Oreochromis niloticus: one gene and its partner. The protein of the gene in region 2 purifies or fractionates together with the protein of the main gene of each other region. This does not show direct contact. Links are inferred from orthologs where the notes say so. Each region holds a gene or a part of one and is shown on either strand. Other genes may lie near its edges.

The links. The genes of interacting proteins can lie anywhere in the genome.
Region 1: the proteins of rpa2 (region 2) and atr purify together in Homo sapiens (affinity purification with western blotting; 3 studies listed by BioGRID, with this or other methods). This does not show direct contact. The link is inferred for Oreochromis niloticus from reciprocal best matches to the Homo sapiens genes RPA2 and ATR.

Annotation. Positions count from the first base shown.
Region 1 is NC_031983.2:20,161,115-20,168,586, forward strand, and holds the start of atr (serine/threonine-protein kinase ATR), read right to left. Parts: upstream 3,021-7,472; 5' UTR 2,856-3,020; coding exon 2,803-2,855; intron 2,653-2,802; coding exon 2,561-2,652; intron 783-2,560; coding exon 630-782; intron 512-629; coding exon 1-511. Other genes in the region: pls1 (plastin-1), read right to left, coding at 4,353-4,491, 4,585-4,718, 4,797-4,920, 5,052-5,185, 5,293-5,407, 5,827-5,905, 6,161-6,356, 6,530-6,625 and 1 more. UniProt on the Homo sapiens protein: Serine/threonine protein kinase which activates checkpoint signaling upon genotoxic stresses such as ionizing radiation (IR), ultraviolet light (UV), or DNA replication stalling, thereby acting as a DNA damage sensor.
Region 2 is NC_031976.2:26,300,102-26,308,363, forward strand, and holds the start of rpa2 (replication protein A 32 kDa subunit), read right to left. Parts: upstream 3,280-8,262; 5' UTR 3,133-3,279; coding exon 3,120-3,132; intron 2,921-3,119; coding exon 2,826-2,920; intron 2,600-2,825; coding exon 2,498-2,599; intron 2,148-2,497; coding exon 2,034-2,147; intron 1,021-2,033; coding exon 946-1,020; intron 100-945; coding exon 1-99. Other genes in the region: smpdl3b (acid sphingomyelinase-like phosphodiesterase 3b), read left to right, coding at 4,433-4,520, 4,600-4,816, 4,993-5,090, 5,199-5,342, 5,469-5,638, 5,804-5,984, 6,131-6,264, 6,620-6,982; mecr (enoyl-[acyl-carrier-protein] reductase, mitochondrial), read right to left, coding at 8,022-8,185. UniProt on the Homo sapiens protein: As part of the heterotrimeric replication protein A complex (RPA/RP-A), binds and stabilizes single-stranded DNA intermediates that form during DNA replication or upon DNA stress.

The DNA.
Region 1 (7,472 bases), on a different chromosome or scaffold from region 2:
TCCACCAGTGTTCTCAGCATCACCATGGAGGCCTTCCTCAGCCTGGTGTTCCCGTTGGCCAGGATGAAGCATGCAGCCTCCCAGGCTAAACTCAGGTCACGACGGGAGATGACTCCCCGCAGAGACTCAGTTATGATGTCGATCGTTATGGCAGTCAGCGACTCCAAGGCAGCAGGTGAGGAGAGCACAAGGGCAGAGGGGGTGAGGTATGAGGAGGCACAGAGGGGGGATAAACTGAAGCACTTGAGGTTTACAGGCCACTGGCTCTTTGTGTGAATCTCCAAAACATGTCCCTGTCCTCCAAGTGTGCAAATATGTGCATACAGGTTATGGCTGAGTTCCTGGCACAGAAATATGAGTTCCTGAATGAGGCAATTAAAGATAAATGGTGCCCGGACTCTCAGAGTGTGAAGTAAAGAGCACAACACAGCAGAGACCCGTCCATGGATGATATCACAGCCTGGAGCTGCTGCCACACGAAGGAAACGCACCGCCACCCACTTACTGAAGTCTAAAATCAAGACAAGGAATGAGAAGATATTAAAGGAGAAAGGAAAGAGGAAAACATGTTCATTTTTTTTCTAATTTCTGAAATCACTTATGGCAGCATTTTGAGAAGAATTTCCTACCAGTGCAGCTCTGTGTGGTGTCTGGGTATTCAGCAGGCTGACAGGCAGGGTTGGCAAACATCAGAGATGAAGATTTAACTATGTGCTGCACGAAGTCCAGCAGCATCACACAGGCTGGCTCTGAGCTGGACTTCTTATTTAGCCCTAAAGCAACTGGAAGAAAAGACAACCGTTTTGTTCAAAGAGCTGGTACACATACAGAGGATAAGTCAAATATTCTTGCAATATTAACTTGAAAAGTCACTAAATGATAAAAAGCTTAAAGAAAGACACTGATTTAAACTCCAGGTACAATATTTATTCAAAAGAATCTGAGAAGCCAAGAGTTAATTACCAAGTAAACTACTGGAGATCATAAATTTATACAACAGCAGCAAGAAGACAGAAGCAGACACAGGTTTATATTAGTTGTACTTTTCCTATCTGTAGTCACACCCGATGTGCCCTCTTTGTGTTTTGGAACTCCTAACACAGACTGGGTTTCTGTTTGCCGAACAAACACCTGCCAGCAATGTGAACTGCTGTTATATCACCTTCATATTGCAAAGGGGAAGTTACAGGTGCAGGTGTAGAGTAAGGGGCAAGATTCATGCAAGTGGGGGGAAGACAAAAACTAATATGGTTTATAACAAACTCTGCGTACTAAATGTAATAAAGGTAAAGATAAAGGAATTTAAGGAATAAAGGAAGCATGTCTGATGTGCACACATGAGCTTGTTAGGGTTTAAACCTGCTTACTTTTTTGTGACATTTTCATATTTCATATCATCAAACACATTTTAATATTAGACAAAGATAACCTGATTAAATTCAAAGTGTAGTTCTTAAATTTTGATTTCATTAAATAAGAGAAAGAAAAGCTACCGAAACCTACCTGGCCCTGACTGAAACAGTAATTCCTCCCTTTTTAAATCATGAATTAATTGTGATTTACCACATTGGTTGAAAGCTCAATTTAATTTCACAAGTAACACCCAGACGTGATTACTGCCAGGCTTGTTGAATCAAGAAATGCCTTAAATAGAACCTATCTGAGGTGAAGTAGGTTAAAAGAACTGTCTGGAAAGGGTTACAAAACCATTTCTAAGGCTTTGAGACTCCAGTGATCCACGGATTTTAACAGTGGAAAACATTCCCAGGAGTAGACAGCCTATCAAAATTGCTCAGAGAGTGCATCAACAACTCATCCATTAAGTCACAAAAGAACCAAGAATAATGTTCAGTGATCCCACACCCACCAGGAAGTCTTAAGTGCTTAAAAAAAACCCCATAAAGATCAAAATGAAAGTTCTGCAGCGGCCTAGTCAAAGTCCAGGCTTAAATCTAATTTAAATGCTTTGGCATGACCTTAAACAGACCGCTCATGCTTGAAAAACTTCCAATATGGCTGATCTTATGTGAAAGACTTGTTGCAACTTATCACCATCACTTGACTGCAGTTCTTCCTGTTAAGGTTGGCACAACCAGTTATTAGGTTTAGGGGGCAGTTACTTTTTCACAAAGGTTTGGATAGTTTTTTTCCTATTTTTATAATAATAATAATAATTATTATTATTATTATTATTATTATTATTATTAGTAGTAGTAGTAGTAGTAGTAGTATTATCAGTATTATTATTTTACAGGAGTTTTTCAGGAATTCATAACCTGCATGTTACATTTACTCAGGCTATCTCTATTTTTAAAATTTGTCTGATGATCTGAAACATGCAAGTGTGACAAATATACAAAAAAAGAAAGAAAAAGAAATCAGCACAGTATATTAGCAAGGGGAAATAGCAGTCATTGTAAGCAACAACTTAAGGGAATGTGTCAGCAGATAAGTCTGACAGTGTACACCAAAAAGCTGTTTGTTTGTTTTTTACTGATGTCCTTTCAGAGGCTTTTATTATGGTGACCACCCCAAGTAAGTGTCGATAACACCGCCTTACCGACATCCACATCTGTCAGTATCCTGTCGATGAACTGGCAGAGAATCTGTCGAGGTTTCTGTACCACCTGGTCGTACTCTGCAGCGCTCGCACTGCAAACATCAGCACGATGTTATTCACAGAGACATGATGAAGCAACGGTTTTTATCGACTTCAATAAGTAAAGACGAGGACTCACTTTAGCCCAAATGACTGGTACTGTTAACTACTTAGCTCTTAGCCAACTTTAGCCGTGTACTCACCTAGCTAGCTCCTGAAGAGCCGGTATCATCGCAGACATTTCCAGACCTTCCATTTTTAAACTTTGTATGTCCCTGTTCGATAAAACTCTTTAATACATTAATATATGGCTCTATCTAATCATTTTTAACCAGTACACATCTCCACGTCTCCTTCTGCCTGTCAAGTCTTTCCAAAACTTTCGCTCCAAAATGACGTTTCTGTTTTGATACGGAAGCCAGCGAGGGTCTATAAGCTCAAACAAAAAGCAAACTAGTAAGAGCTTCCTCTGGTCGTTAAAGTAACGTTAAAGTATGTCTTTTACGGCAGGAAAAAATATGTAAAAAAAAAAAATTTTTTTTAATTGTTAATAGTAAAAGTACCACAGGCCCATAGTAAATGTCTTACAATGTAGGCAGGGTAAAAATATACACAACAGTGATTTTTTTTTTCAAAGGAGAAGTAAAAAGGTGAAATAAAAAAATCTAACTGAGACTGTGCAAAGGAGTAGTGCAATTGCAGTAGTAAATAATGTGTAAAAAGAGGGTATAATACAAGATATATAATGTAAATATTTGTGAAACTGTGTATGCCTGCCTACAACTGTGTTACTTTACTATTCATGAGGCAATGTTGTATTTTGTGATTAGAGTTTAATGTATGTCTTAATTAAGTTGCTAAATTTAAAATTACAGTAGAATTTCTTAAATCAGTTAAATGGTATTTATATAGTACAAGTCACAACAAAAGTCACATCAAAACACTTTATATTGCAAGGTAAAGAACCTACAATAACAAGAGAAACACAAGTGTTTCTGTTCCTTTATTCACCATGCAGCTTTTTGAAACAAGATGTATAAGATGCTTCCCCTTATCTAAAGGGGAGACTGAAACATATTAGAAAATTGGTAAAAAATAAATAGATAAATATCAAGTAATGTCAGATTATTGTCACCTCCCATCTTTCAAGTATTTTTAACCTTAAAGTTTTCAGTTATGCCCATTTTTAGAAGCTATGTAGAAAATCCAGATTTTTGCTTTTGATGGCTTTTGATTCAATTATATTTCATGCACTTCTGAACTAATATACATGTTATAACCAATTTGCTCTTTACTTCTGAAGTCCAGAAGGAATTTGTATTTTGATACACAAAACATTCACAGGTATTTCGTACATTTAACAGATTCTCTTTATTAATTAAATAGCAATATTTAATGAACAACATTTACAGACATAAAATGTATTTGATAGAACAGATGTGTGTATAATTCTGCTTTTTCTTCTGCTGGATCTCTGGCTCATATTGCAGAAGAAGTAAATAGAATGGGTTAAGTATAATAAAGCAAAGAACAATATTCCATAAAATCACGTATAAAAGAAAGAATTATCTTTATTGATGGAAAATGATATACAGCTTTTTTTTCTTGCAAACGAATAATAGACAATGCTAGACTGTTTTTGTTTTGTACGCACGGCGAGGTTAAAACTCAAAGTAAAGGAATAAAAATAATTTTTTAAAAGTAAAATACAAATATATTTTTTCATCTTCATTCAGTGTTGTTTGTACCCACTTCAGGGTTTGGCTTTCTTCATACCATGCCCCATGAGGCAGGCAAACACAGTCATCACCATCTTGGGATTGACCTCCACCAAATCGTCAGGCAGAGCGTAGACACGAGCGCCAATCTTACGAGCCAATGAGATTGCATACCTGGCAGCAGCACAGAAGGAGAGAGGAGTAAGGAAATTATAAAAGAGCGAAAAATCCAAAGTGGTTGGGAGTTTAAAAAAGTTTATTTCTTACTTGGCATTGTTGATTTTATCATCTTTCTTCAGCACTCCATTTTCTCCTCTTGCTACCACGTGGAACTTGACCATTCCCGGAGCGATTACATCGATCAGGTCAATCACTGGCAGGCTGGTGCTGATCAGCTTGTCCTGCAAAAAACAGGCAAAAAGGGGTTTAAAGCACACAGTCTTTTGATATCAAACCATTTCACAAACAAAGATACACACCTTGAAGCTGCTGATTTGTGTGTCCTTTCCATTCTGGCTCAGCATCTTGTTGACCCAGTCCAGGATGATTTGATCTACCACCCTCTCTCCATCACCCAAATCGGACAAAACCTGAACTGTGTACCTGGAGGATTGTAAGAAGTAAAGGTAACTGAAACTATACAATGAGCAGCAGCGCCAAACCACGGACTGTCTGTTTTCACCAAACAATGTACTATAGCAAGCAAAACATCCTGCAGCTCTGCGTGCACATACCTCCTCATCAGCTGCCAGACCAGCCCTAAGGTGTGTACACGACTCCCCTCGTTTAGATTTACTCCTCCAATTCCAACCAGGGAGAAGCGGGCAACATTCCTGCCCAGGTCCACAGCATAGTTACAGTTTTCCAGCTGGGATACAGGGAAAAAAACAAAAAACAACATTGCATCTCTCATATTTCCCACTGCTGTGCGTTTCCTGTCATCATCACTGTGCTCTGCTTGTTAGCATGTAGTACCTTCTTCATATTGGCCCCCAGCGCAGGATAAGGAGGGCGGTTGACTTTCTTCCAGTCCACAGGCACATTGACCTTATCATAAAGCTGCAGAATCACCAAGCCGTCACACAGGTCACTGGAAAAAAACAATGACACAGATAATTGATTTCAATAGAAGAAGAAGAAAAAATGACCACCACTGAGAACACTTAGAGCATGTCCTCTCTATTTTTATTGAATTATGGAGTTTTAGCAGTCTTAGAGGGAGCTCATGTTTTACTGTGCTTTAAAGCTAATAAATAATAATAATAACACTTATAATTAGATAAGGGATTTATTATTTTCAAACTATATTTTCAATGCTGTCTGCATGAGGAAAGCATTAAAATTTAAGATTAAAGCTAAGCCCATATCTTACTCTTGTGGAGTCTTCAGTAGAATGTTATATGAGGACACTCATGCTAATCATTAAATGAAGCTGAACCTTGATTTACAGGTCCATTCACCCTAAATAACTGATATGGTCAACATGATTATGTATAACTGATGACATACTGGTAAAGATGGTGCACATGTGGAGAAACACCCAGAGAGTTCATCCAGTTGCGAAATGTTTTTTCTTCTCTGGTCTCCTCTGGAATTATATGAAGACATCATACATGTTATCATACAGCTGACTTCATCTATAGTCTAGACGTCAAACACTCAAGAACCTATTATCATCTCTGGCTTTTTATTGGTCTATGGCACGTATAACTAGCATAGCATTACGTCTGTTTTCTGCATGCTGATTTTATGGCTAATATGCCTCTGTGTACTGTACAGTTCAGCATTTTATGATTCTGTCGTGTAATTGTAAGGCCAAGATGTAGTGGTGAATATATCTCACTCTCTATGTGCTCTAAATTGCCTCCGTTCATCAGAAACTTCTGCAGACCGGGGTGCATGTTGAACAGGTTGGCCACGAAGGCCATGTTCAGTTTGCTGTTTCCAGATGTGACATCACGAGCAGTAACAAACTGCCTGCAGTCCAGTTTGGCTGCCTGCTGCAGCATCAGCTCAGCCCTTTTCTCCAAATCCCACTCCTTCACAACAAACACACACACAGACATGTATGCATAGAAGAACAGACACTATGTGGATATAATCATATCAGAATTTGAAGAAAACTGGTTAAAATGACAGAAAGAAGTGTTGATCTTTACATTTAGCTTCATTTATTAGTTTCTCACTGTTATGTGAACATTTTTTGGCTCACATTGAGGCCGCTCATGTCAATTTTTATCTTCATTTGGAATTCATCCTCCTCACAGGAAGTGATCTGATCCATCAGGTGGAAGTAGGCCCGTGAGTCCTTCGGTGGGAGAGTACAAGATGGGGTTACACTCATGACACTGTGTATTCACATGTATGTGTATTTGTTCTGCACGGTACCTTGATGTCTTCGCTGAAGTTGCTGATTGTTTCCGTTCCTGCGTTGCGTAGATGATAGTTGACCCAGCGGAGCAGCAACTCGTCAGGGGGGAGAGACATTAGGTGCTCCAGTGATTCTCCATCTTCTAGAAGGGCAATCAAACCTAAAAACACATAACAGCAGTTAATCAACTGTTAAAGCAAGAAAGAGGAAATTAATCGGGGCGATCGGGGCTCAAGAGTTGGCAGCTCGTCTTGTAATCGGAAGGTTGCCGGTTCGAGCCCCGGCTCCGACAGTCTCGATTGTTGTGTCCTTGGGCAAGACACTTCACCTGTTGCCTACTGGTGGTGGTCAGAGGGCCCGGTGGCGCCAGTGTCTGGCAGCCTTGCCTCTGTCAGTGCACCCCAGGGCGGCTGTGGCTACAATGTAGCTTGCCATCACCAGTGTGTGAATGGGTGGATGACTGAATGTGTAAAGTGCTTTGGGGTCCTTAGGGACTAAGTAAAGTGCTATACAAATACAGGCCATTTACCATTTAATCAAAAACTGCATTTTTACCTAGAAGCAGCAAGACACTCTCAATTAAAAGTAATACAGTTGTGGTTATGCTGGTCAAAGTAAAGAAGACATGCAAAGGAATGAGCTAATTTGTTACGAAAAAAGCAAAAAAAAATTCAAAGATTTGTAACATATTTTTGTACCTAGAGGCTGTATGATTACAGATAATATAATATAACATATAAAAATAAAATAAAATAAAGCACCAAATGTGTTTTCTGCTTACAGA
Region 2 (8,262 bases):
GAGTGCCATGTGTGCTTGGACAACCTCTAACATATGAGAGGTGATTTCATTCATATCCTCCAGGGGCCTGACGCTGAATGCCACAACAGACCTGTGGTTCTAAGAAAGGAAAGCACAAAAAATAGACACGCCATCATGAATTCAGAGAGGAACTAAAGCAAGCAACAATGCACTTCAAGTATTTCAAGTGACGAAACAAATCTATCTTGGTAACGGTATAAAAACCTTTAGTGGAGCCCCAGTGTAATTTAGACACATGTTAGATACATGTCACACACACACAAAAAAAGGTTAATAAATGTTTAAATGTGAACAAAATTAAATATGAGATTGTCAAAAATGTTTGTATGATTGAGAAATCACACAGCCGCTTAAAAATTTTACACTGTCATGTAGCCTTTCGATGAAATCATGATGCAAGTCATAAGTTCCTATTTGATTCTGGGTACTGTGGAAATGTCATTAGCATTTACTTTAAATTAACCATTTCCAATTGATTCACAGTCTGTTTGTGGTTGAGGGGGGGGAGGAATCAGTCTGACTGCGGGAAGCAGCTGATTGACTTTGAAAAACGCCACAACATCAACCCAACCACCAAGTAAGCTGGTAGAGCAGGGCCTCAAGTGCCGGTGTCCTGCAGGTTTTAGATATGACCCTTGGTCAACACACCTGAATCAAAGGATTTATTTCATTACCAGGCCTCTGGAGAACTTCAAGACATGCTGAGGAGGCAATTTAACCATTTAAATCAGCTGTGTAGGATCAAGGACACATCTAAAACCTGCAGGATATGTCCTCTCTGGAGGACACATCCTGAGGCCTGGAGTTGGACACCCCTGTAGTAGACGGTGGATGGAGTGGACGGTGGACGGAATGGGCTGGGGCCTGATAGCAACCACACTTTTAAACTAATAAGCGGTCATAGGTGGCAAATATTAAACTCACCTGAAAAGAGCGCAGATTTCCAGACACTTTGACATAAGTTCCTGGGGGAAGGACAGTGCTGTCCACACTTTGGTCCTGTATAAATAAAAAGCACATACTTGATCCTTTTCATACAATTCCAGCTAATTTTCCTTAAGATTTTAGAACAGGAGATTGGCATTGAGGTACTACTGCCCTTTCCTTTTAGCCATCTACTCAGAGAAATGCAATACTAAACAGATATTATAGTTTAGTAGTTTTCTCACTATGTAATAGAGTTTTTATACATTTTATACATATTGTCTGTTGTCGCTGTGCCATTGGGAGCATCCTCACTGGATGCATCACCACCTGGTATGGCAACAGCACCGCTTACAACCGCAAAGCTCTCCAGAGAGTAGTGCGGTGTTCTGAACGGATAATTGGAGGTGAGCTTCCCTCCCTCCAGGACATCTACAGGAAGCGGTGCCTGAGGAAAGCGGGGAGGATCATCAAGGACTCCAGTCACCCCAGCCATAAACTGTTCAGACTACTTCCATCAGGAAGGAGGTTCTGCAGTATCTGGTCCCGTACCAGCAGACTGAGAGACAGCTTTTTCCATCAGGCCATCAGACTGCTGAACACTTCATAGACACCTCACCTTCACTTACCAGAGCTTCAACATTATGCACTCCATACTGTATATAAATGCCACTTGTTTTGCACATTTCCAACTGCCAACCTCTGTATATTTTATTTTATTGTTTATTCTATTTAATTTTTAAAAATATGTATATATATAAATACACACACACACACACACACACACACCTAGATATACATATTTAGTATACACATTCAGCAATGCGCATACACTCTTATATTGTACATATATTTATTCATTTAATTCTCAGATTTACCCATTCTTATATTTTGCTTGTTCTTATGTTATTGTATTTTTGCACACCTCTGTTGCTTGTGAAGCTTGCACACAAGAATTTCACTTGCATGTACTGTACCAGTGTACCTGCACATGTGATGTGACAATAAAAGTGATTTGATTTGATTTAATTACCTCATGTTTCAATACAGACTGAGCTTGCAGCAGAGTTGTGATGGTGGATACTTACCTCTGTGTCTACCCACTGCTTCACATCCATGGGAGCACCTGTCATGTCATCAACCTTGTACTGGATGTTGGTCATGGATTTATCTGTGCTTCTGATGACCCCCACAATGGTGACCTATGACACAGACCACAATTATTATCAAATCTGGAAATATTAGAATAGTTATTACGTCCATGCTGCAAAATGTTGTAACATAAAATGATTTAAAATTCTGCATTTGGTCTGACTGTTAGATAGATGTTTATTTTAAACATTTAAAAGGACAAAAAAGTACAATCGACATATATGCACATTTACATAATTTCTGTAAACAAAAGTAACTTGTACTCAAAAGGGAGTGGAAAGTTGCTGTTGTTCAACTGCAGAAGTAAAAAAAAAAAAACTGTATTACAGAGTAACAAACTAATGATTTTAAGTGCTGAAAAAGTAACTGGTTAGAGAACTAACTGAATGGTTTGGCTCACCTGGGCAACATCCACATCTCCTACTCTGAATGACTCATCGGCTTGGGAAGCAGACATTAGCTGAGACACTGTGCAGGGGATTATTTGGTTGGCACGTGTTCTCTGCAAAGATATACACCCAAACACAAATGGGTTAACTGTCGTGCAGCAGAGACCTGTCAATTTGTGCTTCTATCACAGAAGTCAACATGTGTACAAAGAGGGGATATGTCATTTGGCAAATGAAGGTATGTTGTTGCTGGTTTTCAGCACTATATTTACAGATTTATGTCTGTGTCAAGTCTTTAGTGAATTATACCGACTTTTAAGTTTAGATATAAGTACAGACCCCCTTTTTCTCTCCCCCCTGGGATAAGGCAGGTGATGCAAATCCTCCTGGAGACTGAGTGTAGCCCCCAGCCATACTGGATTCACTGTACCCTCCTGAAAATGTATAAAGAGGTAAACAACTGTGTCAGTGAAATCGTTTATTCGATATGATCTTCATTTGACCCACCTACACTCACATTCAACACACAATAACAAAGACGTCTGTAGTCAAGCTAACGTGGACCGAAACAACACAGCGTCACCGAGCCCATATGGCTATTTATAAACACAACGGTATCGAAATACAACTCACCCTGATTCCACATGCTTCCGCTGTTTGTATAACTTATTAAAGTAAGGCGTAAAATGTTATTTACACCGTGCAGTAATATCTGTAGCCAAACGTATTTCTGTGATCCTCTTCCTCGTTTAATCCCGCGCGCAAGCTTCAATGTACAGCGCAGGCGCACAGCGGAACTCCCGCGAAATCTATGATGACGCAGAGCTTAAAGATGAAGTAATTCAGCCCTAAGTTTTGCTTGTCAGGCTATCGTTCCCCTTCTAGCGCCAAGACTGACCAATGCAAAAGCACAAACTCTGGACCCAAACCACTGTTTAACATGTGCTAACATTAGTATTATTATTATTATTACTATTATTATCATTATTTGCTATATTACTTAATGAAGCAGTCCGTAGCCTGGGAGTTACGTCTGCCTGAAAGAGAAACATCAGGGAATGATTTTGAAAGAGTCCTAGGTTTGCTTTCATGAACTTCCCGAAGAACTACGTGCTCACGCGCGGTTTTGAGGCTTTGCAAAAATCATTTCCAAAGAACATTTGCAAACGCATAGCTGTGTTTATCAAAAACAGACAGACATTGCAAAAGTTCCAACGATGATTAACTACGCTTTTCCCCCAAATGCCCCTTTACTGTAAAAAGAAATAAGCGAAACAAATAATAATAATCACAAAAGCAAAACAAAGCAAACAATTTTTTATTTGCATCATCAGCTTGAGAAACAGATTCTCCACAGTTATAACAGTGTCGATTTTGGGGAATACGAGTATCACGCGAGGGCACCATGCATAAAATCCTTTTTGTATTTAGTGAAATATTACACTGTAACCGCGAAAACATTCGCACGTAGATGTGTTTTAATATAATGTGTCTATATATACTCCTATTTGTGCTATGAATGTATGTATATTTATTGGATTCTTAAACAGCGCATGCCCAAATAAGGTAAAAGAAGGTCTACTAAATTTAAATTTAGTCCACATAAAAATAGTCTAGGCGTAGTCTACAAGCAGGAATTCGACTCCTAAATAGCTTCACAGATGTGTGTATAGAGGTTTTCTCAGCTGAAGCTTTTTATTGTCTTTAAATTTATTCTGAAACTTATTTTTATTTATTTTATTTTATTTTATTGTATGCAGGCTAAAACGTAGTCTTGCATCACAGGGTGACGGTTGAACTTCATTACTGATAGCGAAGTATCACCTGCACATAGGGATCCAAACACCTTCAAGCCTCAGACGCGTCATGACCAGCCGTATCTTATCGTGATTTCGCCTTTATAGACTTACGGCATACCTTTTAAATCAGGTCTTGATTTTTGTCGGATGTTTCTTCCTCTCAAAGGCTTCGACATGTCGGCAGTAAGGCTGCTTCTGTCTTGCTTTCTTTTTAAAGAGGCTTTTGCGCTCTCAGGTAAGCACCAGATAAATCAAGTATATATCTTAATCTCGGGGTAACTTACTAGGTGCTATTACGCATCGTTCTTACACAGGGAACTTTTGGCACATCACGGATCTCCACTGGGACCCAACGTACGAACTGAGCAACAACAATCCTGCACTGGTGTGCGCATCCAGTGGCAAACGACCTGCAGCCAATGCTGGTAAATTTGGACACTATGTTTGTGACTCGCCATGGCACCTGATCAACTCTTCTGTTTATGCAATGAAGAATATTCTACCAAACCCGGACTTCATCGTATGGACTGGGTATGTTACTTTTTTTTTAAATGAATTTTGCAGGACAGTGCTAGTCTCAAGACTATATCTGGGGAAAGAAATGCTTGTCTGCCTTTACAGTCATGATATTTTCAGATTGGTATTTGGTATCGACATAATGTTTGACTGCAATTAATCCTGAAACAATCTGCTGTGTTACTTCTCAGTGATGACACTCCACATGTTGATGATAAAGATCTGGGAGAAGAGGCAGTGCTCAGCATTATCGGCAACCTCACTGACATCATAAATCAAGTTTTTCCAAGTAAGTACAAAATCGGGTGGAAACATGCAAGGTCAACGCATACGACAGTGTATAAGTGTTGGCTACTTCTAATAAATAATGTCTTTTATACATTATTGTCTTGTTTAGACACTAAAGTGTACTCAGCCCTGGGGAACCATGATTACCACCCAAAGAGTCAGCTTCCTGCAGCCCCAAACTCCATGTATGACCGAATAGCAGAAATGTGGCAGGGCTGGTTGGATCCAAAGTCAAAAGAAACATTTAAAAAAGGTGAAGATGGCTTTCTCTAATAGTTACAAATATATGTGTAATGACTTTCCAAAGAATGAATACATCAGTTTATGATGCACAGGAAAATTTTGAACAGACATTTTCTGCAATGTTCCTCTTGCACAGGTGGATACTACACAGAAAAGCTCATGAATCAGACTGGTTTCAGGATGCTGGTCCTTAACACCAATCTCTACTATGATCAGAACAAGCTGACCAAGAACATGGATGACCCAGCGGACCAGTTTAGTTGGTCAGATCAGATTCTTACAGAGGCGGCCAACAACAAAGAGAAGGCAAAGCATCTCATCTTGTTCATGGATGTTTGGATGTTAGGGACTAGAGCTCAATAAAAGATGTAGTTTGTAATGAATACAATCCTGTATAAGCAATTGCCCCTCCAAAAAAGAGACTTGGTCCTGATTGGATTTTAGTTAACTCTGTATTGTTTGGTTTATCAGGTTTACATCATTGGCCACGTTCCTCCAGGTTTCTTCGAGAAGAAAAGAAGTAAGCCATGGTTTACACCAAAGTTCAACCGGCGATATTTGGATTTAATTGAGAAGCATCATTCTGTAATAAAAGGGCAGTTCTTTGGCCATCATCACACTGATAGCTTCCGTATGTTCTACAACACAGAGGGTAAGCCACACTGCAGTAATAGTACTCATTTCACCTTGTATTTGTATTACCTGTTTATCACTTAGCTGGAATGCGTCTCCAATATCCAGCGTTAACATTAACACACACTAATACTGATAGAGCTGATATCTTGTCCGTTTCTACAGGTTCTCCCATTAGTACCATGTTCCTCAGCCCTGGTGTCACACCGTGGGAAACAACACTTCCTGGAGTTAAGGATGGAGCGAACAATCCTGGGATTCGTGTCTTTGAATATGACACAGAAACACTGGTAGTCAAGGCAAGTTTTGGCCTTTACAATTTTCATTAGACATTTATGTTCCTCTAGTGGTGTAGTGGTTAACACAAGGGAACGGTTGCTAGTTCATTATCACCCAGATACAAAAATCCCCTTTTACTCTAGCTCCAGAAAGACCATCCGGTGTAAAACTCAAATCATCAACTGCTAAATCAAACGTGAAACGCTCCTCGTGGCAACGGGGCAGTCAAAAGTAGCAATAGTATTATTAGGCTCTTACGCAACTTATATAAATATATATTTGTATTTTAAAAAATTATAAAACCTTCAGAAATATCTTGTAATGCTTCTAATGTTCTGCTTTCTGTGTTTAAACCATATGCTTTCTCTCACGCAGGATGTGGTGACCTATTACCTGAACCTTACTCATGCTAATGTAGCCACAGGACGCTGGGAGAAAGAGTATCGCCTCACAGAGAGTTTCAGAGTACCAGATGCCTCTCCAGCCTCCATGCACGAGGTTCTGAAGCGTGTAGCTGATGACCCCCGCTACCTGCAGAAGTACTATGATTTCAACTCTGTGAACTATGACCTGAGGGATTGTGACAGCGACTGCCGCGTTGACCACGTGTGCGCAGCACGAGAGGTAGACTTTGACAGGTATGAACACTGCCTCGTTAAAGAGGGGGCAGTTTTCATCTATGGTGGCCTGTTGCCACTCATCTCCGTGGCTTTAAGTCTGGTGGTGGCCAGTGAGTAATTAATTCAATACTACTTTGAACTATAACTAACTCTGAACTTAGTATAGGTTCATTGTTTCCCTACACCAACATATAAGCTTTCTCCCTCAGAATTTAAAATTATGCAATAATCTTTTGTTTCAAAAGTATAAAAGTCATGTTCACACATGTATCACTGACCCACTGAGCAATGCAAACTCCCCCTCTGACTTTCCGACTGGCTTCATCAGCAGCTGTATGACGTTCCACCTTAAAAACTGCACACTTTTAGCAGAGGAATCTGAGAATAGCTTTCTGGTCTCAACATTTGTAATGAATTTCATTGTTTAAATGATAAATCCAGAGAAACATCAAGTAGCAGGTATTTGTTTTAAATGTCACTATTTAACATGTAGCACTATAATAATGCATTTTCATACTTTCAGTTATATTACATCTATAAATGAAATGAGTCATGCTCCAGTGTATAATTAAACTATGGAAAAATGCAACCTTTGTCTTCAGTAATCTTTGGTGTGCCCCTTGACCTTGATTTATGGGTACTGGCTGAATACTTTGTTTCAAAACTACACAGTATTCTTGTGCCTCTAAAGGCCAGCTACCATCGTTTTATTTGTGTAAACTCTACTGTAGCTTGTTATGAATCCAAAACTCAATCTTATGAATTTCATGCACATTAGCTGAAAAAATTGATTATATCAGGATTTCATAACAAATGTCTTAACATTACTTCCATTGTCCATGCAACTTCAAAGCAAAGCAATCAGTTTTAAAAAAATTACAAGATAAAGTTGTATTATCTGTGTTCTGTGATAACTCCTGGCATTTCATATCTTCTTATAATGACTTCATAATCTTTTGACAGCTGCCTGTAAACACTGTAAAGTGTCACTACAGAACATGACGGACGCTGAACTTTGAGTCTTATGTGAAGACACTTTTATTGAGAATGTGGATTTCTTTGACATATCAGCAAGAATGTGACAGCTCTCGGGTTTCACCCAAATATACATGCAGTGTTCTTGAATATCCGGTGGTTAGTTGATAGTATCAGCTAGTTCACATGACCAAAACCTGTTTAGTTGATGAGAAAGGCTGCATAGCAGCATCCAGAGCTGCGTGATACTGCTGCAGACCCACCTCAGTGCAGGCGGGAGCTGTCAGCTTTCCCTGCTTGATGAGGGAGCACAGTTCATCCAGCATGGCTCTAAATGCCCTTCCATCTAGGAAAAACAATATCCCTGTAAATTAGGGAAATGTTTATCTTTTTTAGATTAATTTCATACAATCAGAAACTCCA